4 linked regions of the Lonchura striata genome follow. The protein of the gene in region 1 purifies or fractionates together with the protein of each later gene. This does not show direct contact. Links are inferred from orthologs where the notes say so. Each region holds a gene or a part of one and is shown on either strand. Other genes may lie near its edges. The genes, in order: HNRNPA1, heterogeneous nuclear ribonucleoprotein M, MOV10 and RPS3.

Region 1 (6,952 bases):
GTCCAGGTTCTTCTCGGGCTCCCACGTGTTGTGCTCCCTGGGGACACCCAGGGGACAGGGGACATGGTCAGGGGACATGGCAGGGGACACCCAGGGACACCGTCAGGGGACACAGCAGGGGACAGGGGACAGGGTCAGGGGACACCCAGGGACACAGTCTGGGGACAGGGGACACGGCAGGGGACACCCAAGGATACCCAGGGACACCGTCAGGGCACGGGGGACATGGCAGGGGACAGGGGACACTGTCAGGGGACATGGCAGGGGACAGGGGACATGGTCAGGGGACACCCAGGGACACGGTCAGGGGACAGGGGACACCCAGGGGATACCCAGCGACACCCAGGGTACAGGGGACACCAAGGGGACATGGTCAGGGGACAGGGGATACCCGGGGACACCCAGGGACACAGAGGGGACACGGTCAGGGGACACCCAGGGTGTTGTGTCCCCTGTCCCTGCTGTGTCCCTGCTGTCCCCGTCACTCACTCGGAGAAGCCCTTCCACTTGAGCAGGTACTCGGCCTGGCCCCTCACCACGCGCCGGTCCAGCACCTTCTCCACCACATACTCCTCCTCCTCCCCCGAGGACGAGCTGTCGGCGGCCCGGCGGCTCCTCCTGCCCATAGCGCAGCCACCGCTCTGGGGACAGGGACAGGGACAGTGACAGGAGTGTCACCGTGGCTCAGGGAATGTCACCGTGGGACGTGGCACTGCCCTGCTCCTCCTGCCCATGGCGCAGCCACCGCTCTGGGGACAGGGACAGTGACAGGAGTGTCACCATGGCTCAGGGAATGTCACCATGGGACGTGGCACTGCCCTGCTCCTCCTGCCCATGGCACAGCCACCGCTCTGGGGACAGGGACAGGGACAGTGACAGGAGTGTCACCATGGCTCAGGGAATGTCACCATGGGACGTGGCACTGCCCTGCTCCTCCTGCCCATGGCACAGCCACCGCTCTGGGGACAGGGACAGGGGACAGTGTCACCATGAGTGTCACCATGGCTCAGGGAATGTCACCATGGGACGTGGCACTGCTCCGGCAGCTCCTCCTGCCCATAGCGCAGCCACCGCTCTGGGGACAGGGACAGGGACAGTGACAGGAGTGTCACCATGGGTCAGGGAATGTCACCGTGGGACGTGGCACTGCCCTGCTCCTCCTGCCCATAGCGCAGCCACCGCTCTGGGGACAGGGACAGTGTCACCATGAGTGTCACCATGGGTCAGGGAATGTCACCATGGGACGTGGCACTGCTCCGGCAGCTCCTCCTGCCCATGGCGCAGCCACCGCTCTGGGGACAGGGACAGGGACAGTGACAGGAGTGTCACCGTGGCTCAGGGAATGTCACCGTGGGACGTGACACTGCCCTGCTCCTCCTGCCCATAGCGCAGCCACCGCTCTGGGGACAGGGACAGTGTCACCATGAGTGTCACCATGGGACGTGGCACTGCTCCGGCGGCTCCTCCTGCCCATGGCGCAGCCACCGCTCTGGGGACAGGGACAGTGTCACCATGGGTCAGGGAATGTCACCATGGGACGTGGCACTGCCCTGCTCCTCCTGCCCATGGCGCAGCCACCGCTCTGGGGACAGGGACAGGGACAGGAGTGTCACCATGGGTCAGAGAGTGTCACCATGGGTCAGGGAATGTCACCGTGGGACGTGGCACTGCCCTGCTCCTCCTGCCCATAGCGCAGCCACCGCTCTGGGGACAGGGACAGGGATGTCACCAGGGCACAGGGATTGTCACCATGGGTCAGGGAATGTCACACAGGGCCCCTCCTGCCACTGCTCTGGGGGCACGGATAGGAATGTCACCAGATTTGGGGACACCTGGGGATCCCCAGGAGGGATTTCGGGACATCCTGGGGATCCCCAAAAGGGATTTGGGGTAATTTTGGGATCCCTAAGAGGGATCTGGGATCATTTTGGATCCCACAAAAGGGATTTGGGATCATTTTGGGAGCCCCAAGAGGGATCTGAGGTCATTTCGGGATCCCCAAGAGGGATTTGGGATAATTTTGGGTCCCACAAAAGGGATTTGGGGTAATCCCCAAGAGGGATTTAAATTATTTTGGGATCCCCAAGAGTGATTTGGGGTTCCTTTGGGACCCCAAAAGAAATTTGGGGTAATTTTGGGATCCCCAAGAGGGATTTGGGATAATTTAGGGACGCCCAAAAGGGATCTGGGGTAATTTTGGGATCCCCAAAAGGGATCTGGGGTAATTTTGGGATCCCCAAGAGGGATCTGGGGTCACCTCAGGATCCTCAAAGTGAGACCCCAAGGGGGAGGCACAGGAGGGGCTGATTCCTAAAAACCCAGCGGGGATTTAGGCACAAAGAAACGTGATTTGGGCTAAAATCTCCTAAAAAAAAAAACAACGCAAAACCCAGAGAATTCAGGCAGAGCGAAACGGAATTTGGAATAAATCCCCAAAAACTGAAGGGGGATTTGGGAGCAGAGAAATGGAATTTGGGCTAAACCCCTTAAAAATCAAGATTAAAAAAAAGAAAAAAAAAAAAAAAGACGCTTTAAAAGCCCTCAAATCTGTTTTTTCTCCCCCCTTAGGGCAGGATTTGAGCGGATTTCTCCCTTTACACACAGCCCGAGGGGAATCCCTCGCTCCCGGCCGGAATTTCCTGCCGGGCTCCCGGCGGGGTTCCGGGCGGGCTCCTGAGGGAGAAGGCGCCGCTTTGGGTGGGAAAAGGCCAATTTTGGGAAAATCCGCGCCCGGGAATGCTGCGGGAACAAAGGGAGGGCGGCACGCGGAGGCCCGGGAGCGCCTGGCCGGGGCCGAGGCCGCGGCTGTGAGGGGAAAGCCGCCGCTGCGGGGCGGGGCGCGACGCCCCGAGGGCCCAGGCCGCGGTTTTGGGGTGAAAAGCCGCAGATTTGGGCTCGGAGCGCCCCGAGCTGAGGGGCCCGGCCGCCGGGCCTGGGGGCGGGGCCAGCAGCGCGCCGCCGCACGCCATTGGTCAGAGCCGCCGCGCGCCGCGCCCTGATTGGCAGCGCGCCCCACCGCGCGCCGCGGCCCCGCCGCGCGACTATTGGGCGGCGGAACCGTCACTCCGAGCGCCGCCCCGCCTGCCCTGCGCCGCTATAGGTCAGCGCGCCTGTCACTCGGCTCGCCGCCCCGCCTCCCGCTCGCTGCTATTCAACACCGCGCCCGCCACTCCCCGCGAGGCCCCGCCTCCCGCCCGCACCCATTGGCCGCCGCGCCTGCCCGTCACGGCGGCGGGCCCGCCCCCGCGCTGCCGCCCGTCCATCCGCCGCCCGCCGCCGGCGCTACCTGCGCGGAGAGCGGCTCCGGCGCGGGCCCGTCCGCCGCGGTCTGGCCGCCCCTCCGAGCCGCCGCCGCTCCGCGCTCCGCCCGCCAAAACCGCCCGCAGCGCGCAGGCGCCGCCGGCGGCGCTCCGCGCATGCGTCCGCCCGCCTTTTCCCCCCCCTCTCCCCAAAGCCCACCGCGATGGGCGCATGCGCTGCCGCGGCCGCACCTTGGGGCCGGCGGGCGGGCGGCCTCTGCTCGCCGCCGCCGCCGGGAGTCGCCGCCGCCTCCCCGCTCTGCGCCCGCCGCGCCGCGCTCGCCGAGCTGCGCTGGGCCCGCCGCCGCCGGCGCTGATGGACGGCCGCGCCCGCCAATGGGCACCGTCCCCCCGCTCTCCCAGCCAATGAGCGCCTGGCGAGGGGCGGGCCCTGTTTCTTTCCAACCAACCAGCGGCGCGCCGGGGAGTCTCCGGGCCGGAGCGGGAAAAGCCACGCGGGGCGTGTCGGCAGCGCTTCTCCCCAATCCCCGCGGCGCAGGGGCGGGACGTTTCGGCGCGCAGCCAATCAGCGGCGGCGCGGGGGGCGGAGCGCGGCGAGGCGGCCAATGGGGCGGCGGCGTTGTGAGGCGGCAGCCAATGGGCGGCGGCGCGGGGGCCGCGCGGGCGGCGGGGGCGGCGGGGTGAGGCGGCGGCGCTCGCGGCGCTCGGCCCCTTTCCGTGTCGGCCCTCGCAGAGGGAGCATCGCGCGCCGCCGCCACCGCCCCGCGCCGCCGCCATGGCCAAGGCCGAGGTCAGCAGCGGCGCCCGCCCCGCTCCCCGCCGATCCGCGCGCCCCGTTGTTTGTTTTTTTTTTTTTTTTTTTTGTTGTTTTTTTTTTTAACCCATCCCCGTTCCCTCCCCCCCGCCCCCGCCGCCGCCGCCGCCGCCTGGCGGGCCGCGGGACCTCACTGCGCCTGCGCGCGGCGCCCCCCCCTCATCCCCTCAGCCGCGCAGGCGCCATTGTGTGTGGGGGGGGTCACACACAGAGCCCCCCCTCCCCTCCCCCTTCCCCTCCCCCTTCCCCTCCCCTCCCCCCTCAGGTTCCATTTTTGGGGGGGGTCCCACAGAGCCCCTCCCCCCCCCCCCCCAAGGTCCATTTTCGGGGGGGGGTCCCACAGATTTCGCCCCCCTCAGGCGCATGCGCGACCCCCCCTCACCCCGCGCGCGCTCCCGCGGCCACGTGCGCGCGCTTTGTGTCACGGGGGGGGGGGGTCTCAGGAATAACGGGGGGGGGAAAGAAGGGGATGGGGGGGTGTTGGAATTTGGGCTTGAAATTAAAGCTGGGGGGGTGGGGGAGTTGGAGTTTAGGGTTGGGGGGGGCAAAATTAGGGGAGGGGGGTCAGGAATAGGGGCTGGGGGCGCTGAGGGGGCTGAGGGTGCTGGTAGGCCCCAAAATTTGGGGTTGGGGGTGTTGGAATTTGGGGTGTGGGGCCTTTGTGGGGTTTAATATTAAAACTGGGGGGGTGGGGGGTCGGAATAGGGCTGGGGGCCCTGAAGGGGCTGGGGGCGGTGAGGGGGCTGGTAGGCCCCAAAAATGGGGGTTGAGGGAGAGATTTGGGGGCCTGGAGTTGGGATTTTGGGGTTGGGGGTGTTGGAATTGGGGATGTGGGGGCTTGGGGGGGTTTAAAATGAAAGCTGGGGGGTTTGGGGGGGTGGGGGGTCAGAAATAGGGGCTGGCGGCGGTGAGGGTGATGGTAGGCCCAAAAAATGGAGGTTGGGGGAGAGATTTGGGGGCCTGGGACATTGAGAAATTTGGGTTGGGGGGGTTTGGGGGTCTGGTGGCCCCCCCAGATGGGAACTGGGGATGCTCAAGGTTCAGGTGGCCCCAAAAATTGGGGATGGGGGAGGTCAGGGAGGGTCCCCAGGGGGCTGGGGGGGGATTTGTTGGGGGTGGGTTTGGGGTGTCAGGAGCTGCTTGGGAGGGGAGGGTCCCAGTTGGGTTTTTTTGGGGTCCCAGGGGCGATTTGGGGGTGTCAGGATCTCTCTGGAGCTTTGGGGGGACATTTTGGGGTGTGAGGGGGAGTTCAGGAGGGATTTTGGGATGGGACGGGGGTCCCAAGAGGGATTTTGGGGTGTGAGGAGCACTGGAGGGGTCCCATTAGGGATTTTGGGTTGTCAGTCCCCCCGGGAGCTGGGTGAGGGGGTTTTGAGGGGGTTTTGGGGTTCCCCAGCCTCCCCAGAGCTGGGTGAGGAGGTTTTGGGGGTCCTCATCCCCCAACAGGAACTGTGTGAGGGGGTTTCGGGGTGTCAGGCCCCTGTGAGCTGAGTGTGGGGGTTTTGGGGGTGTTTTAGGGGGGATTTTTGGGGTGTTTTAAGGGGTGTTTTAAGGAGTGTTTTAGGGAAGGTTTAGGGGGTGTTTTAGGGGGGATTTTTGGGGTGTTGTAAGGGGTGTTTTGGGGGTGTTTTAGGGGGAGTTTTAGGGGGGATTTGGGAGTGTTTTAAGGGGTGTTTTAGGGGAGGTTTAGGGGGTGTTTTAGGGGGGATTTTGGGGGTGTTTAGGGGGTATTTGGGCTTCCCACCCCCTCCGTGGGGTTCCGGGGTGCCCTGAGCCCGTCCCCCCGCAGTCCCCGAAGGAGCCGGAGCAGCTCCGGAAGCTTTTCATCGGGGGCCTGAGCTTCGAGACCACGGACGAGAGCCTGCGCAGCCACTTCGAGCAGTGGGGCACGCTCACCGACTGCGTGGTGAGGGGCAGGGGGCCTGAAATGGGGCTGGGGGCCCTGGAAACGGCACTGACTGCAGGAAAAACGGGGCTGGGGGCCCTGAAATGGGGCTGCGGGCCCTGGAAACGGCACTGACAGCAGGAAAAACGGGGCTGGGGGCCGTCTGAAATGGGGCTGGGGGCCTGAAATGGGGCTGGGGGCCCTGGAAACGGCACTGAGAGCAGGAAAATGGGGCTGGGGGCCCTGGAAACGGCACTGAGAGCAGGAAAATGGGGCTGGGGGCCCTGGAAATGGCACTGAGAGCAGGAAAAACAGGGCTGGGGGCCGTCTGAAATGGGGCTGGGGGCCTGAAATGGGGCTGGGGGCCCTGGAAACAGCACTGAGAGCTGGAAAATGGGGCTGGGGGCCCTGGAAACGGCACTGAGAGCAAAAAAATGGGGCTGGGGGCCTCTGAAATGGTGCTGGGGGCCCTGGAAACAGCACTGAGAACAGGAAAATGGGGCTGGGGGCCTCTGAAATGGGGCTGGGGGCCCTGAAATGGGGCTGGGGGCCCTGGAAACGGCACTGAGAGCAGGAAAAACAGGGCTGGGGTCCCCAAAAATGGAGCTGAGGTCCCTGAAATGGGACTGAGATCTCCTGGAGTAGAGCTGGGGTCACTAAAAGGGCACTGTGATCCCTAAAACCAGCCCTGGGATCCCTGAAAATGGCCCTGAGACCCTTAAAAACGTCATGGGATCCCTAAAAATGGAGCTGGGATGACAAAAATGGCCCTGGGATCCTCAAATCCCTCCCTGGGGTCCCTGAAATCAGCCCTGGGACCCCAAAACCAGCCCTGGAGCACCAAAACCAACCCTGGGGCACCAAAACTGACCTGGGACCTTTAAAATCAGCCCTGGGACCCCAAAACCAGCCCTGGGGCACCAAAACTGATCTGGGACCTTTAAAATCAGCCCTGGGACCCCAAAACCAGCCCTGGGGCACCAAAACCGACCT
Region 2 (7,983 bases), on another chromosome or scaffold:
CAGGATAGTGGGCAGTGGTCATTGTGCTGGAGCTGGGCAAGGACTGGCAGTTCAGGCGTTTGAGGTGTGGCCTAAAGAAGGGGAAAACAAAGTTCCAGAGGGTTTCAATTGTTTGTCTTTGGAGGCAAAAGGGAATGAATCTGTGGAACAGACTGGGAGCTTCCCAAATTAGGGGCTGTTTGAGAGCCAGCAGTGGTTTTGTGCCATGGCAACAGTGTCAGCCTCAAGGGCTGCTTGAGCAGGCCCTGATGATGGACGGAGCCCTCACTGCCCCGTGGCTGCCCCAGATCCGTTGGTGTTCCGGGTGAGGAGATGTCCAGCTCTGTGCTGTGTTGAATCCCGTTCCCAGTGTCTGGTGGTTTCTCTCCAGTTCCCGTGGATGGCAGAGGCCAGGCTGAGATTGTTTCCTGCCGGGCTGTTCAGCTGCTCATTCCAGCAGATGCTCCTAGGGGAACGTTGGAGCCTTTTCCTTCTGGCTGCAGGGCTTGTCCTGCTCAAACTGGGATCATTCCTGGGGTTTGGCACTGCTGATGAACCCAACAGTTTGGACTTGCCGTGGAGTTGTTCTGGACTTCTCCCAAACTGCTGCTCTCGTGCTGTGCTCGGCCTTGCTCAGTCCTTGCCTCGAGGCAGAGCAGTTCCAAGCCCCAGGAAAACTCCGACCCGTTGGAATGCTTGCTTCGGAAGCGTAAGAACGCCAGGCCAAACGTCCCAGGCTCTGGGAGCAGGTGGAATTCTTGCCCAAGGGGAAACCCTGGGTGTGTGAGGGCTCTGCAGGGCTGGGCCCCGTGCAGAAGGGGCTGTAGCAGCAGCAGGAGCTCGGGGAGGTGCCGTGTGTGCAGCAGCTGCTGCTGTTCTGCAGCCTGGGAGCGGCCAGGCTGCTCCAGGTGCCACCTCTCTCTCTCTCCTCACGCCGTGGCTCGGGCATCCCAGTGGATTGGTTGGAGAAACTCAATTACAGGTATGCAGTGGGAATGTTGGTAATGGAATGAAGAGATGTTCTTGTTTGGAACTCCCTCGTTTTGCTGGCAGACACAAGGTGTTAGCTCACTGCAGAGTCCCCAGGATTTGGTCACAGTGTGGAGTTCTGGGGAGTCAGGGAGGGAGGGATGGGGAAGGAATGTGCTGTCCTGCCCTTGGCCTGTTCCCCCTTCCGTTTGCTGAAGTCTCTGATGAGTTGCTCTGTTTCCCTTGGGCATTCACCATCTTTCCAAGGAATCTCAGCCCTTCCCTGGCTGCAGGGAGCTTTTCACTCCCTCTGCTGCCTGAGCTCTTTAAGAGCCTAAATCACCACTTTGGGTGTTCTCTTGCAAAAGGGAAGTTTCCTTTCCCCATCTGTGACAGAACTGCTGACTGCTGTCTCTGCTTTGGGAAGGTTTTCCTTCTGCCTTTTCAGCCAAAGCTTTGCATGTGTAAAACTTGCTCCTCTTCTCTCCCCTCTTAACTTTTCAGGGGTTGCCTGTCCCAAGCTTTTACCTGTAAATGAGGGAAGAACTGTGGCCAGCTCTGCTTTGCCTCACACTGCGAGTGTGAAGCTTTTTAATCTTCTTGGATCACTTGTTCTTCAGAAGATGAGGAGACATCCAGCCACTTTGGGGTTTTCCTTCCATATTTAGTATTTACTTTTGGCCCTGGAGGCCAAGGAATAACTGCTACAGAGCATTTCCCTTGTCCCAGTTCTGTGCTTGCTCCCCCTTCCCTCTCTGCATCTTTCACACCTCTCAGAGCTCTTTGGTTTGTCACAAACTGTTAAAATCAAATTGCCCAACCTAAAGTTGTTATTTCTGTCTGAGCTTGTTCTGGGGAGTTCCCAGATGTGTCTTCAGGGCCTCAGGTCACCCTGTGAATACTGATCTGAGCTTCCTGTTCAGACCCTGCAGAGTATTGGAATTCTGCTGGAGCAGCCCAGCTTGAACATTGACATTTTCTGTACTGATAAACTTTGGGAAGTGATACAAAGTTTTAAAGAGGATTAAAAATAATGACTGTTATAAATAACACTGAAGCTTCCTTCAGTTTGGATTTCTGGTTATTGCAGTAAATTCTGCTCCAGTCTCTTGGTTTGGGAAAAGCTGCATTTTCAAACTTTAGGTGTGAGGTTTCAATAAATCCATAAATCAGTTTCCTCTACATTAAGTCTTAAAGACACCATGGGGAATGTGTTGATTAATTAAACCTGCAGTGACTAGGAGCCAGTGTTTTTTGGACATTTCCTCCCTTAGGAAACTCCTGAAGTAACAGTTTTTGTGCTTGGATGAAGTTTCTCCACTTGTGGCCATGGGATGTTCCCTGACAGAATCCAGCTGTTCTCTGGCAGAAGGGAATCTTGCCAGGATCACTGGGCATTTATCCTGGTCTAGCACATGGATATCTGCTCCTGGTACTTTTCCATGGCATCCTGTGGTTTGGGATCTAGAAAAAAACTCCAAAACTCCAAATAAAATGTGATCCAGCCTAGCTTCTTAAAAAAATATTTCCTTTGCCAGTCACAGACGATGTTCTCCTGGCAGAAGGGTTGGGTTGGCTCCTTTTACACAGTTTAAGGTGAAATGAATGCATTTTCATGGCAGTGTTTCTGGGCTCTGTCTTGGCTCAGAGCTGTTGCACTGAGTGTGTCATTCCCCTCTCCTGCTGTTCTGAAACCGGGCTCTTCAGGAAGTTCAGATCTCCTTTAAAGCATAGCAGCTACTTCAGGCTGGATATTTGGATTTTCATGTGTCTGTAAGGCTCCAGCAGAAAGCTCTGAGCAAAATTGGCACAGACTCAACTTCCCAAGAGATTCCTGGAGATCTTGTGGTTCAGAGTCGGGGATTGGTTACAAGAGCAGATGCTCAATTGTACTGGATATCCTCAAGCTTGGCAAGCTCCTTTGGGAGCTGTTTGTGAGGAGCTGTAGGTGAAGTGGCTGGGAGAGGAGAGCCCTCGCTCCGGGGGCTCTGCAGCTTCAGGGAATGCCAGACCTGGAAGCTTTGGCTCGGAGAGGTTTTGGAGTGGAGCTCACCTGGGAAGAACTGGTGAATCTGTTTGCATCCCTGCCCCAGGTGTGCTTGGACTCTGGCTGCTGCTGTTTGAGCTGGATGGCGTCAGAACCTCATGGCAGCGCTGAATCCCCCCCGGGACTCCTTGGGAACAATCCCATGTGTGCTGCAGGAGCTCAAAGGGATTACAGGCTGGAATTCCTTGTTAGGCTTGATACCAACATGGATGGAGCTGCTGGAGCTGTGGATGATAATGGACACTCCAGTGGAGTCCCTTTCAGAGGGACTTGGCAGCCTTTTCCAGCCTCAAACATTATCCTTCCAAAAGCAGGAGTGGATCAGAGCTGTTCATCCTGTTCTCTGGCTGGAATACTCTTACTGCTAAAGTATTGTTTAAAATAAGAAATGGAGATTACAAATCAGTGGTTTTGTTAAGCATTCCTTTTTTTTTTCCAGCTTCAAGAGAGCTCCAGGGTGTCAGTTTTCCACAGTGATACCCAGTGTCCTGTAAATTGCTGGGCCTGGGGGAGGTCAGGCTGGACACCTCCCTCTGTCCCTGGCAGAATATTATGAAGCCCCACTTCCTTGCTCCAGTTAAACTATTCATACTCAACTGGCTCATGGTTTCCCACAAATAAAACATTCCACTGTCCAGATAATGCAGCTTGGTGTCCTCCTAGTTTAAATTTAAACCCTAGGACTTGTAAAACCAAAAAGGAAAAATAAAAAGGGAAAAAAAAAGGTGTTGATTCCATTCTTCTGTATGCCAGTCCCTTCAAAGGCAGCAGCCATTTGGGTAGTGGTTTTCTGGAAGTCCCTGCCAGGGTTATTTGGTCCTAGAGAGGCAGTCCCAATCCTGTGAGGAAAGGGGCAGGTGGAGTTTTCCATTGTCTTTTGCCTTTTGCTGTTGACAATTTTGACTTGAGAGCAAATGTAGCAGATTTTAATGCTAAAATAGAATTTATTGTAACTTAACAAAAACATGTTAAAATAAATAGCAGGCAGTGATCTCTTGATCTGTTGGTTCAGTGTGATTCCTTTTTTGTCTTAAATCCTGAGAAAAAAAAGTTACTTGAAATTGTGGATTATGGAGCCAGGGCTGCATCCTGTGGCAACTGAAGGAAACTTGTTCCTGCAGCCTTTCCCATGGGTTTGGATTGCCTCAGGTAACGAGTGGGCACTGGAGATCCAGGGAACTGTGGAAATCTCTGGCTTTGAGGTGGAGGAAAACCAAGAACATATCGAAGTGCTTGAAGCCTTTACTGCATACCTGTAATTGTCCAGTTTTGTGGTCTAGAGAACATGGAGTGTTTCTGGGCTTTCTTATAAGGCAGAGGCTCCATACACGGTTGTTGATTGTTCTAAATTCCCATTGTTTTCTTGGCTTTTCTCCCTTGGTATCTGTGTCGTCTGGAATCTGATTTGTAGTTGGTGAGGTAACATACGTGGAGCTCTTAATGGACGCTGAAGGAAAGTCAAGGGTAAGTGTTTGAGAGTTTCTTTGTGGATTTTCTACCTGAAATGTTTCTGTGTGCTGGACAGAAGGCCAGGGAGGCTCAGAGTGTGGATGTGCAGTGGCTCTAGGTCAGGAGTGCTGTGGGATGGGAGGAGGTGGGGTGGGCTCTGCAATCAGGAGCTGTTCCCTGCGTGCCGTTGGCGTTGGCCGTGTGACCCTGGAGCCCAGCAGGCAGGACAGGGCTCTGGAATATTCCTGTGCTTTGGAAAAGTCACTCGAGTGGTTGGCTGAGTTTGGAAGGGCCAGGGTGCAACAGCAGGTGCTGCAAACTCCACGTCCTGGGCCAGCAGAGCGAGATAAATTCCTAAATGTAAATGTTCAGTGCCTTCATGGGCCTTGAGTCCAGGATCAGGGAAGACAATAGGAGCACTCCTAAGTGTCCTGAAGGATATGGATTTAGGGTGAGAGTGTGGAGGGTTTTGCTGTATGCCAGGGAAGAGCAGGTCACAGGAAGCGTGTGGTATTTCTTGGAGAGTCGGGATTTAGTGTTTGTTACAACCTCAGAGACCCCAGGTTAATCCTGTTAAGGCATAAGAAATTATGGAATTCCACTATTGGAGGCTTGCCTGTGTAAGGTTACATTTATTTTTGCTGCTAGGGCTTAACTGATGTGATTTGGCTTTAATAATAAAATATCTGTGTGTGATTTGAGCTATCACTGACTTTCTTTTTTCCCCTCTTCCCTCCTCCATGTGACTGCCCTGGGAAATCATCTCACCAGGGATGCGCGTAAGTTCACTCTGAATTTTTCAAGTTCAATCTGATTTCATCAGGAATCTGAGGAGACTTCTTCAAACAAAACGTCCTGAGCTGTGTTTGTGTCCCCACAGGGTGGTTGAGTTCAAGATGGAGGAGAGCATGAAAAAGGCTGCTGAAGTTCTGAACAAGCACAGTCTTGGTGGGAGACCCCTGAAAGTAAAAGAAGTAAGGAGGGGATCTGTTCTGGCAGGGATAGAGGGGGAAGCAGGAGTTCCTGTTTAAGGTTTAGGGCTGACTCAGAGGATAATGGGCAGAAAGCAGGACTTAAATAGGATAAAAAAACCCAGTCAACCTTTTTCTGATAGTTTTAACCACTGCTGGACTTGTGATTATCAAGACTAAACTTGATGTGAGGACAAAGCAGGAGTTTGGCTTTAATTGCAGTTCCTTTGTTAATGATTTGACACAGAAACCTCTGTTTGTTCTTTACAAACTTCCCTTTGAATTCTGCATCAGAATGAATGGATTCCGCCAACAATTCCATAGAATCAGCTCTTTCCTGGAATCCATCAAAGATGTATTTCCATTTTAGTGGCCTTGCTGTTGACAGACAGTCCTGGGAGTTCATTCCAAGACCTCTCCAGTGGCACTGGGGGTTTATTAGGGTTTGGAACAGTGTAACAGAGGTTTGTTGTTGGTATTAATGATGGATAAACAACTTGGTAACCAGGGAAATGCCTGGAGAGGAATAACTTATTATTAAAGGGTATCAATAATAAAGGTATCATTTAAATGATAGTGTGCTGGGTGTTGGCTAAAATAACATAAATTGACTGACAATGAAAGGGAAGCAGTTGGCTGGGAGTGCTTAGGGAGCAGATGCCCTGGGATAAAGGGAAACTCCTGTCTGTGCCTGTGGGAGCCCTGGCACTGCCCGTGGTGGATGTGGGATCTGATCTGAGGGTGTGTGTGTGTCCCCCAGGACCCCGACGGGGAGCATGTGGTGGATGTGGGTGGATGTGGGATCTGATCTGAGGGTGTGTGTGTGTCCCCCAGGACCCCGACGGGGAGCACGCCAGGAGGGCCATGCAGAAGGTGATGGCAGCAGGAGGGATGGGCATCGGGCCCGGCCCTGGCGGCCCTGGCATGATCAACATCCCCCCCAGCATCCTGAACAACCCCAATATCCCCAACGAGATCATCCACGCCCTGCAGGCCGGCCGCCTCGGCAGCACCGTCTTCGTGGCCAACGTGAGTGCTGGGCACCCCCTGCTGCAAATCCAGCAGTGGGAACCTCTCAGCTGGGGCAAATCTCAGGAAGGAAAAGCCTTGGGAATTCGGGAAAAGCTCCTCTGTGTCCTGTTGATTCTCTGTGCAAAGGAGGTTCTCAGTTAAGTTGTACCACAGTGCCTGTTAATGGGGATTTTTGAACAAAACTTCGTATTTTGGTTGAATTTTATCTCGGCTCTCTGACAACTTTAATGCCAATACCAGAGGAGGACAGGAGCCAACTAAAGCTGTTTTCTCATGAAAATCTCATGCATTTCCAACAATGCCCTGTTTTCCAGCTGGACTACAAGGTGGGCTGGAAGAAGCTGAAGGAGGTGTTCAGCATGGCTGGGGTGGTGGTCCGGGCCGACATTCTGGAGGACAAGGACGGCAAGAGCCGGGGCATCGGCACTGTCACCTTCGAGCAGGCCATCGAGGCCGTGCAGGCCATCTGTATCCTTGGCAGCAAACTGGGAATAATGGGGCAGAGAGCCCAGGAAACGCAGCAGGGCAGAGTGGGAACTGTATTCCAAAGGAGGATATTGTATCCAGGGCAGGGGAGGTCAAGTTGTAGCAGATGGAAAATGGAAGGAAAAGCAAAACAGAGGCAAAATTCCATCTTGAAGGAATTGTTGCAGTTTGCTCAGGATCCTTAGCAAAGGAAATTCTCTTTCCTACGTGGATAAATGTACTTCAATCCGAGATGAGTTTCTGTCTCTAGGTTGCAATTAATATTAAAATGCAATTCTCTGAAAAGGAAAAAGTCCCTGTGCCAAGGCACACGGAATTGGTATTTTCCTGTTCCTGTTTCCTTCCACTGGCCAAGCAATGATTTGCCACCTAGAAACCCAACAGCAATAAAATTCCAGGTATTACTCTCTCAACTCCTGGTTATGGTATGGAAAGGAGGAAAATAAACCCTCTTCCTTTCCCAAAGTTTCTATTTGTTAATTCCCTTCTGCACTGCATCCACAAAACCTTGTGGGAGCAGAGTTGGGCAGAAGATTCACTGTCATGGCACACTTCAGAATATGGTGTTGCTGTGGAGCTTTTCTCTGTTTTGTCCTGTCTTCAATGGATAAAATGACTGAGGAAGCATTTAAACACTTGGGCTGACTTAGAGTTATGGTTTGTATCTCTTTCTGAACTTAATCTTACCCAGAAATATGTTTTTTATCTTTTTTTTTTTATTTTAAAAAGCCTTTTTTTTAATGTTCAGTATTTTTAGATTTCAAGGCATTTTAGTTTTGGAGAAGGCAGAAGGATTTGGGATAATCTGTGAGTAATAACTGAGGAGATGGATTTTCTGAGGGGTTTTTGTGCTCCCTGTGAGAGCACTCAGTGCTTGAAGAATGATCCTTAACGACCCCCAGCGATGTTCAATGGGCAGCTGCTCTTTGACAGACCCATGCACGTCAAAATGGTGAGGACACTCCCATTCCCCATTCCCACTGACCTGGGAATGCACTGCTGATTTGGGGAGAATTTGTGGTTTCAAGGATGGATCAAAACTCAGAGGGG
Region 3 (7,163 bases), on another chromosome or scaffold:
TGACTGCATTCTCTTGATTTTAAAGTAATTTTAGAGTGAACAGTCAATATTGTGTTTATAGAGTCAGGTAGGAATTCCAGATTCACAATTGCTTAAAATTCAGTCATATTAGAAAGTCTCTATTGGAAAGCTTCTCTTGGAAGCTAGGGTTAAAAAGGACAGAATATGCTTTTCTATTTTGCACAAGGGAAAGAAACAGTAAGTGTTGGGGAAAATGAAATAGGAAAGCCTTATAAATATGACTGCCTGGCAAAAGATTTAGAAAATACAGAGATTGAGATGGTAACAAGTTTTGAGATACCAAACCTTAGTTACCAAACAACTAGAAAACAATAGTACAGCCAGGATGAAGGCAATCCCCCCTTCTGCTTGAACAATGCCCTTACCTAGAGGTAGGTCCAAGGGTCAGATGAACTGTTGGATCTCACCCCAATGTGTGGCTCATCCCACACCTGTAACCCTCCCCTGAAGCATCAGGAGTCTGTGACCCCATTGGCCGAAGTCTTGTTCCAGCCCACCTTGAACCCCCTGACAAGGAGTCCCTGAGGAGCCAGACACTCTCTTGGAACTTCTGTTCTCTTGGAATTGCCCCTCTCCTGGAACATCCTCTCCCTCTTGGGATCCTCTCTTATCTCCCCCTACCCCTTGCCTCTCCCTTCCCCCACTCCCTAGGGTCTGCCACAGGTCACATCTGGTGACTCCAAGCAGGGCCTCTCACCCTTTCTAATAAACCAGATATTCTAAGAGCAGCCTTCAGAGATCTCTCGTCTCCGTCCACCCAAACCGTCCTGGAGTCCAGCATCCTCACAAGTAAGAGAGATCTGCCAGTATGGTAGGGGACGCAGCAGCTGCAAAGTGACTCATTTTACATGAAGGTCCAGTTCCTTTTTGCTCACTAGGGTGCAGCTCTGTTCCAGTTTGGAATACAAGCTCTGGCCAGTATGTAGTAAGTGAAGGGAACCCAGACAGCCTCAAGGCACAAGCTGCTGATATTACCTACTTTATCTATACTTACCCTATCATTTGAGAAGAAATCTGTTGTGTAGCTTATGTAAATTGCTCTTAAACATGCAACTTTTTTTTTTCCTTTGCAGAGTGATGTCCAAACTGCTAAGGATTTTATTAAGATCATAGAAAATGCAGAGAACGAGTATCAGGTAAGATCAGTGGTAGTTAAATAGAACAGAATCGTATCAGTCTCCATTTGCAGTTAATGGAAAAATGGAAAACTGACCTCTAATTCTGTTCCTGGCTGAATCTGGTATTGCCTGTAAGAATTACTTAGAAAAGGACAGCAGTATTTGTTTAAAAAAATAGAGTTATAAAGCTGTAAAGTTATAAAGCTGTGTTGTAATTTGCTATCAGGTTTGCTGTATGGTTTTTTTAAAGGGTTACAAATGATACCTGGAACATGCATGGGAGGGGAGTGGGTGTGTCAATCTAGTTTCCTCTGTGACAGTTAAAAATTCTGAGGAGGAAACTTGTGCAACAGCTTTTACATTGTCCCAGCCTCTGTGCAAGGAGACTGGAAAGAGGTAAGTCAGTGAAAGACCTAAGGAGGTGCTGCTACAATACAGGAGAGGTGAATAGAAAGCCTTTGACTTGTATACACACTAATGACTGCATTATTAATTTAGTTAATCGTGTGCATTACACCTTACAGAAGGGAGTTTGTGGCTTTAACACACCAAGTTGAGCTTTCTCATAGTGTTTCATGTGTGCCCTAACCAAATCTGCTTGCCCTTGCAGACAGCAATCAGTGAAAATTACCAGACTATGTCAGACACCACCTTCAAAGCCTTACGCCGGCAGCTGCCCGTCACCCGCACCAAGATTGACTGGAACAAAATCCTCAGCTACAAGATTGGCAAAGAAATGCAGAATGCTTAATGCAGAAAGAAGGAGGTGTATGAAAAATTCATGTGCAAAAAAACAAATATGGTCCTATGCCAAGTAGATGGTTTTTAAACCAGAGAAGATTTTTTAGGGCTTTCAAAGTTAACAGGTTTTCTAGCCTGAAAGGGAACCGTGGAACAAATAGTTGTCTTTGTGTTTTGTGTTTCCTGCCACATAAACTTCCTGTTGTAGCTGCATTTAATAGGTCATTTAAATTCAGCCATTCATGGCTCAGAAATATAGCTGTTTTCAGTCACTGGCTGGAAAACTTCCTAGCTGGAAAAGCCCTATTATTACCCCACGAGAGGGTGCAGAGCGTTTCCTTCACCGGTATCCAGCACTCCAGGTATCCAGTAAGTCTGTTAAACCTGCCAAGAGCTCATGGCGCTGCAAGACAAAGTAAGTGCAAGACAGTGAGTTCTCGTGTGTTCTTATTCCCAGCCTCCACAAAGCAGATGCCTGCAGGCTTAGATTTTGCTGTAGAAAATGAGTTTACAGGATCCTTTACAGAATTCCCTACTGACCCAGCTCTTCCAGGGACGTAACTTTTTTTTAATCTGAAGATTTGAGCCATGTTCTCTAAAAGTGAACATCTTTCTTCTCCCCTCCCTCGTGTATGTACGGTTACCAGACATCTGCATTTTTACAGAACTGCAAGATAAGTCACTGCTGATTCACAAGGGCTGGATGGTGACTAAAAATGCAAATGTCTACAAAATAATAGGTATGTTGTGCTTTAATGCTTTGTGGCAGGTTCATAGATTTGTATCACAGGTGTATGGATGGATAGTGTACAAAATAAATAAACTTGCACCAAAGTGAAATTAAAAATCTTTTCCATTTGTCTCAGTTGTGGACAGTTTCTTGTCATGCTTAGAGGGGATTTCGGAATGAATCTGTTCTGTGTGCTTGCTCTGCATTACTGTTTTCCCCCTCTAACATCAAAATTAGCAGTCATAACAGTTTCTCTGGAGGGGAGGACGAAGAGATAGGCATACGCCTTTCTCAGATCTTGGAACATAGATTCACTACAAAGTGAACTCCCTTTGCTTTGTTTGCACTTGGTTATCACTGGGCGCCTTACAGATTCTGTTTTTTAAAGTGGCTCATGTTTTCTTGTTTTTAAATACACAAAGGAAAAACGGTTGGGAAGATTGGGACGGAGTTGTCTGTGAGTTACACTTTAGGTTTTGCACAGTAACACCACAAAATAAGTTTTTATCCTTTGTGAGTTTTATCTAATTAAAATATATTTGTATTTGCTGCTCAGACTGACAATTCACCCCTCAGGCATGCTCTGTATCAATAAGTCTAGTGCAAATACACCAGTCTTTGTTTAAAGCCATTTGTGTCTGTTCTTTCATGGTCTCACTCTTGTTAATTCCTGAAGTCTGGGAAGTGTTGGCATCGCCATCCCTGGAAGTGTTCAAAAATGTGAATGTGGCACTTGAGGACCTGGTTTAGTGGTGAACACGGTGGTGCTGGGTTGATGGTTGGTTTTCAATGATTTCAAAGTTTTTTTCCAACCTTAACAGTTCCGTTATTAAGGCAGGGATGGTATCACTCCAAACCCATGGGTGGTGCTCCCGTCCTAGTATACAGACACAGGACCTGGAGGGCTGAGCTTCCAAACTAAAATAGAAACTATCACAGAGCTTTAATGCAGCTCCTCACCCTGGAAAAAAGGCAGCAAGGAGGTTATTCCACTTACCCTCGGTGTCTTTCTTTAACACCTACTTCATACACTCCAGGTTGTATCCTACATGGGACAAAGCAGGGCTTTTTGGAGGGTTTGCACAGGGCAGACCCATGGACAGTTCAAGAGGCAGCACCCAGGAGAGATGAAAGGTTGTGTGAGCCTCAGGTGCTGTGGGCTGCGGCCCTGGACGCATCCAGGAAATCGCTGTAGTAATTCCAAGAATGTGAAGCCGAAGCAGGGCCCAAGATAAGACTCTGCACACAGCACAGCTTTTATCTGCCTCAAGGCTAGTCTGTCTGCTCCTTGGTTACACTGGAAGCACTCCACCGCCAGCGTTCCAGCCTTAGGAGCGTTTCTATCTCTTTGTCCTTCTCCAAATCTTCAGGTAATCATCCTTCAGACCGACTGGTTCCCCTCTCCCCCTCCAGCCCTCTGAGCCCCGCTGCCGGCCCCCGGTGCGCCCGGGCCAGGTGGGCGGGTCCCGGCTTCTTTTGCTTTCGTTCTCCCTGTGCGACCCAGCCCAGCCCAGCCCAGACCGGTCCAGTCCGGGTCAACCGGGCACTGCTGGATGCGGTACCGGCGCGGCGCGGCGCGGCGCGGCTCAACCATGCCGCGGTGCAGCGTGGCGGAGGGCAGCCTTTGGGGGAATCAGTTCGTGCAGTTCCTGCAGGACACGGGCCGGGAGCAGAGGAGCCTGCGGGAAACGCTGCGGACCATCTACAACCAGGAGTTCCGGGCCAGGTGAGAGCCCTCGGCCAGATCCGGGCGACATCACCTGGGACAGATCCCAGGCCAGCATCCCCAGTGCCTGGCCAGCATCACCGGGGTCTCCAAGCTCGTCTGTCTCACCAAACCCTGCTGGGATGATCCCCAGCTCCGTGGGCCCCCAGCAACTGCCTAGGGATGGCCTTGGACACCCCCTGCCCACCCCGACCTCACCTTGCTGGCACCAATCACACTGGCCCTTATGCACTGTCACCACTGTGACATTGCACGATCATTGGCAAAGCCAGGGCTCAGTGCACTGGTAGGACTGGGAGGAGGAACCTGGGGAGTCAGTGCTGGGAGAACAGTGGCTGTGCCTTAGCAGAGCCACCACCTGTGCCAGCTCAACTGCATGGACAGAGACTGCATGGCTGTCAGGCCAGGCAGTGGGACAGCTGGGATGGCTGTGGCATAGCTGAGACAACAATGGCACAGCTCGGACTTGCTGGAGCAGCCAGCAGGGATGTGAGGTTTGCACAGGCCAGTGGGAAGCCCAAGTCCTTCTTCCTCTCCTGGAGCAGAGGGGACTTGCTGAGAACTCCCTCACTGCAGCCTCGGTGTCCTACTTCATCTTCTCACTTGCCTCACCTTGGGTTTCTGTGCCCATGGCAGCCAAGCCACACTCCCACAGAAACCCTGTCCCTTGTCTCCACAGGACTGATGCAAAGACACCCAGATTTTCCTGCATCTTGTACGCACTGAAGACAACCCAGCAGATTCAGGTGCATGGAGAGGTGGTGAAATTCAAGGTGAGTTCATGCTGGGGCAGTGCCCACCAGGACTGGCTCCTCAGGAGCCCCCTGCAGAATCCTGGGGCCACGCTGGGTCTGGCTGCTCCTTGCAGGTGAAAAGGCGCCTGGTGGTGGCAGACCAGTACCGACGAACCAGAAGGAATGCACAGACATCCGTGTCCACGTCTGCCTCAGGACAGCAGCTCAGCTCCACTCCACAAATGCCCGAGAGCCATGGCAAGCAGTGGTATGACCAGCACCACCCCACCGTGGCATGTCCCTTGGATCCCCCAGCCCAGCTGGGAAAGCCTGACCCTCCCTCCCCACAGGGCCAAGCGCATTCGTGAGAAGCACGGGGTGGAGATCACCTCAGACTGTGACCAGGGCAACGGGAATATCCGCTTCCCAGTGGTGCCGGGTGAGCCCCGGACAGTCACCATCCTGGTGCAGAACTGTGGAAGCGAGGTGGTGACCCTGCAGCGGTTCCAGCTACACAAGCAGTCACGGGAGCTGTCCTTCACCGATGAGCAGGGGGCAGTGCAGGGCCAGTCCCTGCTGTTACACCCAGGTAGGGCCCCTTCCCATCCCCTTCCCCGTGCCCTGCCCTGCAGAGAGGATGCAGGACCCAATCTCACCACTTCACCCCGCAGGTGGGATGTACCCCATCCAGGTGCGGTGCCTCACCACCTGCAACGGGCACTTCAGTGCTCTGGTGGTCTTCGAGTTCACCAAGGAACCAGGCGAGTCCTTCAGCATCTCACGCTATGTTGCTGCCATTGCTGAGAGCCAGCTGGCCAAGGACCTGGGGCCCTCGGCACCTTTCCAGCCTTACGAGGCCAGCCTCCAAAGCTTTGTCACAGTCATCACTGAGGATGGCATCCCCCCTGACAGGTATGTGATGAAGTCACATGCTGCCATCCCGAGCAGAGGGGCCCAGGCTGTTCTTCAGCCAGGACAAGGTTCGCTCCTTGACTGTCTGGCACCACAGGATCGTGCTTCAACCCTGTGCAGTGACAGTGACACTGGGGCTGGGGGCACTATGTAGTCCCTGAAGCACAACTGTACCCTCCACACAGCTCCCTGAAAAATGAACTGGAGACGGAAATCCCTCTGGGTACCTACAGGTACCCAAAGAGCCTCAAGGACATGATCCTGCTCGGACCCAACACCAGTGCCAGCTCCAGCTGGGCTGCCTTGTGGTGAGTGCCAAGGGCAGAGAGCAATGCTGAGGTGTTCCTTGAGTGCCAAGCTGCCCCTGAGACACAATGACATTGCTGCTGCCCTCAGCTCGCTGCTGGAAGCACCTCTGCAGGCTGAGAACTACCAGCAGAAATTCCAGCTGCTGCTGTACCTGGAGGAGATTCAGATGGAGGTGGACATCCGACGCTACGACATGCGGGATGTGACCATGGTGCAGGAGAGAGCTCTGCTGGTTCTCGATGTGCGTAGGGGGCTGAGGGATAGGAGGGGTGCTGGCACAACACTGGCACTCCCAGAGTGCCTGGCATCACACTGGTCCTTTGGCACAGGTGCCTGGCGTGGCCGAGAACCGCCCGTCCCTGCTGAGAGGGGACCACCTCTTTGCCCACCTGAGCAGCAAGCGGGACCACTCCCCACTCGTCCGGTATAAGGGCTACGTGCACAGCGTGGAACTGGAGAAGGTCAGGCTGGGTTTCTCCTCCAAGTGAGTGATGTCTGGTCCCAGCAGCCTTTCTCACAGATGCCAAAGGCCAGGAGTGGGTTGGAAAGGGCTAGGAGGGCATGAGAGAGTGCCCCGTGCCATGCTCACACCATTCCTTCCCAGGCTGCAGAAGAAGTTTGTGAAAAACCTGAAGTTCGATGTGACCTTCACCTTCAACCGGCTGCCACTGCAGGTGCAGCACCGGGCTGCAGTCCTGGCCGTGCGCCGTGGCTTGTTCAGCCTCCTCTTCCCCTCCACCTCCTGCCACAAGTCCCTCTTCTCGGGCCCCTTCCAGCCCCGGTGAGTGCCCAGTTCTGCAGGGAGGGAGGGCCTGGAGGTGGAGGCGGTGGGGCCCCGGCAGTGCAGCCTCTGCTCCCACAGGTGGTTTAAC
Region 4 (7,811 bases), on another chromosome or scaffold:
GCTGCTGGAATGATCTCTGCCAGCAGCCTCTCGGTTCATTAAATACTTATGAGCCAAGGATTCCCAGCTAAACAGCACACTGAGCATCCTTACACCATCTCCTGTTTTTAAAAGGTATCTAAATTGTTTAATAATCTGCTTGAAGTCCTTAAAGTGAATCTGGGCAGCAAAGCAAAATCCTGTTTAGTGGGGCAGATGCCCAAAGGAAGGTGTCTGAGTGATGGAGCTGTTTGGGAACAGCCACTGAAACACTGCCAACAATTTATCAGATGTGTTGGAGGTGACAGGCTGGGATTACAGTCTAGTTGGCTGCTGGATCAGACCTTCCTGACTGTTGGAACTCCAAATGTCTCTCAGACATTTTTAGAGGTTCCAGGCCTTGGTCAGAAGCATTTTAGACCCTGGCAGGCAGCTGGAAACAGCTGTGATTTTGAGTTTGAGCCATGGAATGAGTTACCAACTTTGGAGGTGGAACAAGCAGTCACAAAAGGTTAGATAGCAGAGTAAAAGTAGTTACAAAACAGAGGGAAATTTTTTTTACTATTGTACAGAGGGGGTTTTAACACTTGTACAGGGGGGGTTTTACTTTGTACATGGAGGTCAGAAGTTCTAAGATGGAGAAAAGTGGGCTGATCCTGTTCTTCTGCCTTCTTCTTCCTTGCCTCCATGTTCTTGGTGATGTTCTTGGCACTCACAGATTTGTTCAGAGTAGAAAAGCACTTTGTAATATAGGTAGTAGGTATTGGGGGAAAAGTATAAACATGTAATACGTAATATATCATATAAAAGATAGCAGCAGCCCTGGGCAAGGGGAGAGAAGAAGAAGACAGCAGACAGAGAGGATGTCAGGGTGTGTGTGTGCCTCTGCCTGGGCTGCTGACCAAACAGCCGCAGCCTGAGAAGACAATCTTTTAGATAACCCACAAGAAACTGCCTTGAGACCGAACAACAGGAGGCTGTGGAGTTTTCCTTTGGAAGCACGGGTTGGAGGAGAAATTTCACCACCACATGGGACTCCAGAGTAAGCCTGGGGCTCCCACACCTGAGTGCTGCAATTTCTGAGTTAAATCCAGACCATGTACAGAGCACAGCTTCTGTTTTGCCCAACTGGCGGTTGGTTCTCAAGCTTTGATGTATTCTCAGAGGTGTAAATTCTCATGGAGGGTCACACACACCTTTCCAGAGCAGTTATTCATCCTTAGTTTGGAGCTGAGCTGGTGCTGCCCAAGTTTCAATCCCACTCTTCCAGCTGCAGGGAAGGAGATGGGATTGGGGCAGCTGAGAACTGTCTCTGCCTGGAAACATGGTGCCTTCTTCCATCCCTGTCCTGCAGGATCCTGCCATCTTCCCCTGCCTCCAGAAGGTTTGCTGGACTTATTCCCCGTGTTCTTGCCAAGCTAAAAACAGTAAACCCTGCTAGGTGTGAAATGTTTACAAAAGGCCTATGAATGTGGTCCTGACTCCCTGTCCTCCCAGCCCTGTTCCCTCCATCTCTCCCCACTCTGGAGAGCTGCTCCATGTGGGAAGGCAGAAGACATTTCTCAGGAAGATTTCCAGAGGTGCCAGGAAGTGGTGAGGAACTCAGTGAGGGGTTTATACAGCTTGGGCAGTAGCAGCTGCTCCAACTGCAGCAGTAAATTCTAATACAGCGTCTCCTGCAGTAAAATTCCTGTCTGAGTTAGACTTTACAAATGCTTTACAAGTGGTGCTTGCAATTCATCTTATCTCTGCTGGAATTACCTCCCAGGACCCATCTCCATTCATTTATTGCAAACTATCTCATCTTGTCCATCTCTAGCCCAGGTTTCATTTTCCACTGCTATTCCCTGGGAAAATTCATGAGCTCTGCAGTGCCTCTGATGGTCGTAGGGAAGGTGGTTTGGAAGGATTTCTGTCCTAGGCTGCTGGTTCCTGCACTGAAATGCAGAGGTGTAGGTTGGGGCCCAGCTGTCCAAATCACCCTGGAGCAACAGGAAATCATAAGGAACAGGCTCCTGCAAGGGAAATTCCCGAAATCCTCAGGCATATCCAGAGAGGCGATAGGGCCTGGCATGAGCAGGAAGCCAGTGTGTCACCCCAAATCCTGCAGGTGTCTGAGCTGGAGGGACCACAGCAGGAATGGTAGACCCTGTCCTTCTGCCCGTACTAGTTTGTGTTTTTGATGAGCCCAAGGCTGTTCCCTGATCCTCCTGCAGAGTCAGCACAGTCCCCGGCAGGATCTCCCTTATTTTGGGAGCAGCAATGGCAGTCGGGGACTTTCCCAGGCAGGACACTCTCTCCCAGTGCCACCTTTTGTCACTGCCCGCAGAAAGCAGAGGGTATCCCAAAATACAGCGTGCCGTAAGGCTGGGAAAGCTGGCCTGGCCGTTTCCCTGCTAAGCCTGCCAGCCCCTCCTGCCTGCTCTGAACAGGAGCCAGTTTCCCGGGGAGCAGGGGCTGGGATGCTGCATTCACTGAGCCCTGCAATGGCCCTCAGCTGCCATCAACCATGTCACTGCCTGGCCAGTGAATGGAGCTGGGGGGAGGCAGGACAGCTCCCGATTCCCAAACCTGCTCCAAGCCACGTCCCCCACAGCGAGGAAACCTGGCAGCACCTGCCAGGCCCTTCCATAGGCACAGGGGGCTCCTGCTGCTGCCAGGTGCCACATCTGGAGTGACATCCTTCCTGTGCAGCCCTGGTTCTGCTGCTGCACAGTCCAAGGGAAGATCCGAGTGCTGCTGCTGGAGCAGGGGCTGCAGCCCAGGGTTTAGTGCCAGCTGGGATGTGCCCAGAGCCAGGAAGGGTCATGGCTGGAGAAACCCAAAAGTTTTTTCCATTCCCTGGATGTCCTTTGGGGACAAAAGGAGCTCCTGTGCCAATGATGAGACTCCACAAGGAAGTGGGGAATGGGGAAAAGCAGGGGTGCAGTCCTCGAGGGTGGGGACCCAGAAAGCTGGGTCTGTCACTCACCATGGCATTTATGGATAATCCCAGGCCTGCTGCAAATCCAAGCCACTGCTGGGCCTGGGAAGACACTGGGACCTGCTGGACCACGCCTGAGCTCTCTGTGGGCATGTCACAGCTTTTTTGGGCTGTTGCCAGCCTCCATTTCAGCAGGGATGGAACAAGAGTGAATTCACAGAATCAGGGAATGGCTCAGGTTGGAAGGGACCTTTAAAGGTCATCTAATCCAGCCCTCCTGCAGTGAGCAGGGACATCCCCAGCTAGCCCAGAATCCATTCCCAGCACCTGGGAGCTGGCTGGGGCTGCAGCCAGAGATGGCTGATGCTGAGGGAGGAATCCCATACCAGTATTTGGGGAAGGTACTGAAATGTCCCTGGCTGTGAAGGCCACAGTTTGGAGCCCCCAGGTCACATCTAGGGGGACAGGGGACATTTCCTTGGTGCCAAGCACCACCCAGGCCCTGCTTTGTGCCTGGCTTCAGCCCTGGGTGCTGCCCCTGAAATGCTGACACAACACAGGGTTTGTCCTTAATAGGCCATGGAAAAGGGGACACATGACAGGGTCGCGTTTTTTGCTTTTGTTGTGCCTTTTGCTGTCTTTATATGACCAGAAATATATTGTGTGAGCCCCTCCTGTGTAAACTCAGCCTAAAAAAATAGATGATCTTGGGCAGATATTTTCTGCTCTGAAAATATGGTGGTCCCGTGTTGGAAAACAGCAGAGTGGGGTTTGTGCAGCTTGGCAAGGTCTTCCCTAGAAAATTACTTGAGACCCCAGTTCATAAGGCTCAAACCCCTGCACAGAGACACCCCCAGCTGCTGTACATTTCTCCAGAGTCTGATGTTCTGTGGGACAAAGGACCTCGGGCGCAGGGGGAGCAGGGGGAGCTGGTTCAGGGAAGGGCAGGATGGGTGGGCACACCAGAAGCGACACAAAGGTGTCTGGTGACAGAGGGGACACAATCGCTCGCCGCCACCGCCACCTGCCTTCGCCGAGCGCAGCGTGGGATGCTCTGCCATGCCTCCGGTGCTGGATAAATGAATCCCTGGGGAAGAGGCTTTTCTCAGCCTGGAATCCGCCTGCACTGACATCTAGCGGTAATCCAGGCTTTTCCCTGGCCGAGAGCAGAGTGGGATCCTCTGCCCTGCTGCTCCTGCTGGTGTTCCTGCTGCGCTCTGGGCATTTTCACAGCATCACTGAGGCTGGAAAAGGCCCTTAAGATCATCATGTCCATCTGCAAAACATATTAACATCCCCCGGTTCCTAGAGGCCGTGCATCAACTCTGCCCATTATTGTTGTTATTTCTGCAGTCCCCTACAATCCCTAAACCATTAAAAAACAATGTGTTGTGGCAGGGCAAGGGGAATGGCTCCCGACTGCCAGAGGGCTGGGCTAGATGAGATTTTGGGAAGGAATTGTTCCCTGGGAGGGTGGGCAGGCCCTGGCACAGGGTGGCCAGTGCAGCTGTAGCTGTCCCTGGATCCCTGGAAGTGTCCAAGGCCAAGCTGGACACCGGGGCTTGGAGCAATGCAAAGTGTCTCTGCCTATGGCAGGGGTGGATCGGGATTAGCTTTAAAGTCACTTCCCAACCAAGCCATGCTGTGATTCCTGGATAACAGCAGAGCACCCTCTGACAGCAACGCCTGGGCAGGGCAGGTCTCCAGGTATAAGCCCAGGATGAATTACCGTACACCTGTTTTATTTTACGCACTGCTGACTCTCCGTGCCCGTTGAACTCAGCTCTAGGCCGTACGCATGGCTCAGGCCTCCCCAACATGGCGGCGTGGCAAAGACTACATCTCCCATCGGGCCCCGCTCTCCCCGCCGTGCCAGCGGCGAGCCAATGGGGCGCGGCGGAAGGCGGATATAGCACCGCCTGCGGGACCCGCTCCTTCCTTTCCGCCGGGCCGCGGCTCATCATGGCGGTGCAGATCTCCAAGAAGCGCAAGGTGAGCGCGGCCGCACGGCTCCTCCGCGGCCGCGGGGCGCTGCCGCACCGCCCGCGGCGGCCTCAGCGGCCGGCAGGACGGGGCCACGGCGGGCGGCGGCGGCGGACGGGGGAGGATGGCGGCGGATGCGGCGCGGGGCCCAGCGGGGAACATGGCGGCGGGATGGAGCGGGCGCTTCCCCGCGGCCGCGCGTGGAGGTGCGGAGCGGCGCTGGGGGCCGGGAATTGTGGGGTTTCCTTTTGCTTTCCCCTGCGAAGGGTTTGCGGCTGGTGGCTGCCCCGCTCTGTGGGCCGGGAGGGCACCGGGCGCTGCCTGTCCTGGGGAGCGAGGGAGGTTTGGGGCTGTCAGGAGTCCCAGCAGCAGGGAAAGGGATGCGACCCCGCTAATTATTTCCCTTAAATTGCTCCCGAATTGCAGCAGAAAGCCGTGATCCCAGCGTGAGCAGTGGCTGTGGTTCAGGCAGTGTCTGGAGTGGATTATTCCTGACAAATTCAGGGAAGGGGTTTCCATTTTTCCCCGCTACTGTACCCAGGGTTGGGCAGTGCACGGTGCTGGTCAAGTCAAGGTTGTGGGTTCAGTCCCTGGGCTGTCCATGTAAAAGTTGGACTAGGTGTTCCTTGTGGGTCCCTTCCAACTGAGAGTATTCTGTGATTTTTTTCAGAGGAGAAGAAAGTTGTCAGGAGAGACTGTCAGGCTGCAGGAGGAATTAGGGTGAATTGCACTCAGGTTCAGAATGTGACAAGACCTTGTCTTTGTGGATTTGTATTTTAGTTTGTCGCTGATGGCATCTTCAAAGCGGAGCTGAACGAGTTCCTGACTCGGGAGCTGGCTGAGGATGGATACTCCGGAGTGGAGGTCCGGGTCACTCCAACCAGGACTGAGATTATCATCCTTGCTACCAGGTAACTCAGCCTTCCTGAGCTGGGATGCTCTGAAAGCTCTTTGGGGTGGCTCCAGTCTCACTCCTGGGGACACTTTTCTCATTTGTCCTGTGCTTATTTTCCCGCAGAACTCAGAATGTCCTGGGAGAGAAGGGACGCCGGATCCGGGAGCTGACAGCTGTGGTGCAGAAGAGGTTTGGATTCCCCGAGGGAAGCGTGGAGGTAAAACTGCCTCAGGAACTGGGTGGTGCAGATGGATTTGTGGTGGCAGCATGGTGTCAACTGAAAGGTGGTTTCAGGATAAGTTGGGCCTTCTGTTACTTGGCCTCAGAAATGCTCCTGCACTGAAATACAAAATAAATTACAAAGAAACTGCTCTGCTGCAGAAGGATCTTTGAGAAACAGAAGGTAAAGTGGCACAGCAGTTTTTTTTGATCCTTAATGTTAGGGGGGTTTTCCCAGGGGAGGGTTGGACTAGGGTCCTTTAAAGGGTCCACACAACCCAAAGGATTCTGTAGTTCTGTTCTGTGAAATCTGCTCCTGTTACTTGTTCCTTGCTCTGAGACAAATCAGGGAGGGAGGGGGAATGTGTGTGCTGGGGTGGTGTTCATTTATTCCAGCTTGGTCAGTGCTGCTGGATCACGTTAGACAAGGAAGGGAGTGTAGGATAAAGCTGCTGCCTGTAAATGTGGAAGGATTAACTAGACTGAATGTAGGGAGGAGAGTAAAATGAAACTCCTGTGTTCTGCTGAAGTAAAAGTTACATTTACGGTGAGGCTGGTGAGGAAGTGCCACAGGGTGCCCAGTGAGGCTGTGGCTATCCCTGGAATTATTCAAGGCCAGCTTGGAACAACCTGGTCAAGTGGAAAGTGTCCCTGCCCATGGCAGGGATGGAACTGGATGAGCCTTCCAAGCCACAGCATGCTGTGGTTGTGTGATGGACTTGGAAAAGAGCCCTGTTGTGAATGTGCCTCTCTGCTCTGCAGCTCTACGCTGAGAAGGTGGCCACAAGAGGTCTGTGTGCTATCGCCCAGGCCGAGTCCCTGCGCTACAAGCTCCTGGGAGGGCTGGCTGTGCGCAGGTAAGTACAGCAGCCTGCCATGGGGGAGGTGTGGGACTCCAGCACCATGCCCAAGAAACAGCTTCTCTGCAGTTTGAGGATTTAACCTGCACTGAAACTTCTGTTCAGTCCACAGTTACCTCTGGACTGGTCTGTCTGGTTGCAGTTTGTGGGGCATAAAACTACATGTGTTGCTTTGGGTATAAGTGGGTGGAGGAGTGAAGCAAACAGCATTTCAGGCCTTGTGGCTGTGCTGTGGCTCAGGTGGCAGTGGCCCTGCTCTCACATCCCCTCGGTGATGAGACGATGACGAGTCAGAAGCGGGTGGCTCTGGTGGCAGTGCCTCCGTGGTGTCACGTTCTGTGGTGCTTCGTGAGGTCCTCCAGTAGCAGCCTCCTGTCATCAGTGAATGATCTAGAGGCATTTGTCTGAGAAGGGATGGGAGCTGCACTGCTAACACATGAAACTGAGGTTGGAATTGTGATAGAATTCCTCTGGAAGCCCTGTGGGTCTGGCAGAGCGGGCTCATGGCTTGGCTGTCCTCCCTGCAGAGCCTGCTACGGTGTCCTCCGCTTCATCATGGAGAGCGGGGCCAAGGGCTGTGAGGTCGTTGTGTCCGGCAAACTCCGAGGTCAGCGGGCCAAATCCATGAAGTTTGTGGATGGCTTGATGATCCACAGTGGGGACCCAGTGAATTACTACGTGGACACAGCCGTGCGTCACGTCCTACTCCGGCAGGGTGAGTGCCTGGCGTGCAGATCCCTTTGCAGCTTTGTCAGGTTCCTTCTCTAGAGCTGCAGAAACAAAAAAAAATATCAGCTCCTGGCATCCTGTTCTGCAGGTTGGAGATTTCCCACTGGCAGCACGGTTTTAATGCACTTCCGATCTCACAGAGTAGTTTAGTTGTGCTGCTGTGGATGGTTCAGGCTCTGAAAACCCTGTTTTCCTGGGCTTTTGCAACTGAACTCTCGCTGTG

What was found.
Region 2: the proteins of HNRNPA1 (region 1) and heterogeneous nuclear ribonucleoprotein M purify together in Homo sapiens (affinity purification with mass spectrometry; 6 studies listed by BioGRID and IntAct, with this or other methods). This does not show direct contact. The link is inferred for Lonchura striata from reciprocal best matches to the Homo sapiens genes HNRNPA1 and HNRNPM.
Region 3: the proteins of HNRNPA1 (region 1) and MOV10 purify together in Homo sapiens (affinity purification with mass spectrometry; 3 studies listed by BioGRID and IntAct, counting the BioPlex papers as one, with this or other methods). This does not show direct contact. The link is inferred for Lonchura striata from reciprocal best matches to the Homo sapiens genes HNRNPA1 and MOV10.
Region 4: the proteins of HNRNPA1 (region 1) and RPS3 fractionate together in Homo sapiens (co-fractionation; 3 studies listed by BioGRID and IntAct, with this or other methods). This does not show direct contact. The link is inferred for Lonchura striata from reciprocal best matches to the Homo sapiens genes HNRNPA1 and RPS3.

What each region holds. Positions count from the first base shown.
Region 1 is NC_134629.1:8,441,113-8,448,064, forward strand, and holds the start of HNRNPA1 (heterogeneous nuclear ribonucleoprotein A1), read left to right. Parts: upstream 1-3,950; 5' UTR 3,951-4,035; coding exon 4,036-4,050; intron 4,051-5,863; coding exon 5,864-5,980; intron 5,981-6,952. Other genes in the region: CBX5 (chromobox protein homolog 5), read right to left, coding at 1-37, 490-626. UniProt on the Homo sapiens protein: Involved in the packaging of pre-mRNA into hnRNP particles, transport of poly(A) mRNA from the nucleus to the cytoplasm and modulation of splice site selection.
Region 2 is NC_134630.1:6,568,435-6,576,417, forward strand, and holds the start of heterogeneous nuclear ribonucleoprotein M, read left to right. Parts: upstream 1-4,970; 5' UTR 4,971-5,223; intron 5,224-5,324; 5' UTR 5,325-5,340; coding exon 5,341-5,418; intron 5,419-6,249; coding exon 6,250-6,444; intron 6,445-6,761; coding exon 6,762-6,915; intron 6,916-7,835; coding exon 7,836-7,885; intron 7,886-7,983. Other genes in the region: heterogeneous nuclear ribonucleoprotein M-like, read left to right, coding at 4,407-4,471. UniProt on the Homo sapiens protein: Pre-mRNA binding protein in vivo, binds avidly to poly(G) and poly(U) RNA homopolymers in vitro. Involved in splicing.
Region 3 is NC_134632.1:5,823,046-5,830,208, forward strand, and holds the start of MOV10 (helicase MOV-10), read left to right. Parts: upstream 1-4,155; 5' UTR 4,156-4,163; coding exon 4,164-4,336; intron 4,337-5,015; coding exon 5,016-5,109; intron 5,110-5,204; coding exon 5,205-5,338; intron 5,339-5,420; coding exon 5,421-5,659; intron 5,660-5,741; coding exon 5,742-5,982; intron 5,983-6,167; coding exon 6,168-6,290; intron 6,291-6,378; coding exon 6,379-6,532; intron 6,533-6,620; coding exon 6,621-6,775; intron 6,776-6,895; coding exon 6,896-7,072; intron 7,073-7,153; coding exon 7,154-7,163. Other genes in the region: CAPZA1 (F-actin-capping protein subunit alpha-1), read left to right, coding at 1,095-1,157, 1,750-1,890.
Region 4 is NC_134604.1:18,070,825-18,078,635, reverse strand, and holds the start of RPS3 (small ribosomal subunit protein uS3), read left to right. Parts: upstream 1-4,804; 5' UTR 4,805-4,864; coding exon 4,865-4,894; intron 4,895-5,665; coding exon 5,666-5,796; intron 5,797-5,903; coding exon 5,904-5,997; intron 5,998-6,761; coding exon 6,762-6,856; intron 6,857-7,125; exon of another isoform or gene 7,126-7,272; intron 7,273-7,386; coding exon 7,387-7,574; intron 7,575-7,811. UniProt on the Homo sapiens protein: Component of the small ribosomal subunit. The ribosome is a large ribonucleoprotein complex responsible for the synthesis of proteins in the cell. Has endonuclease activity and plays a role in repair of damaged DNA.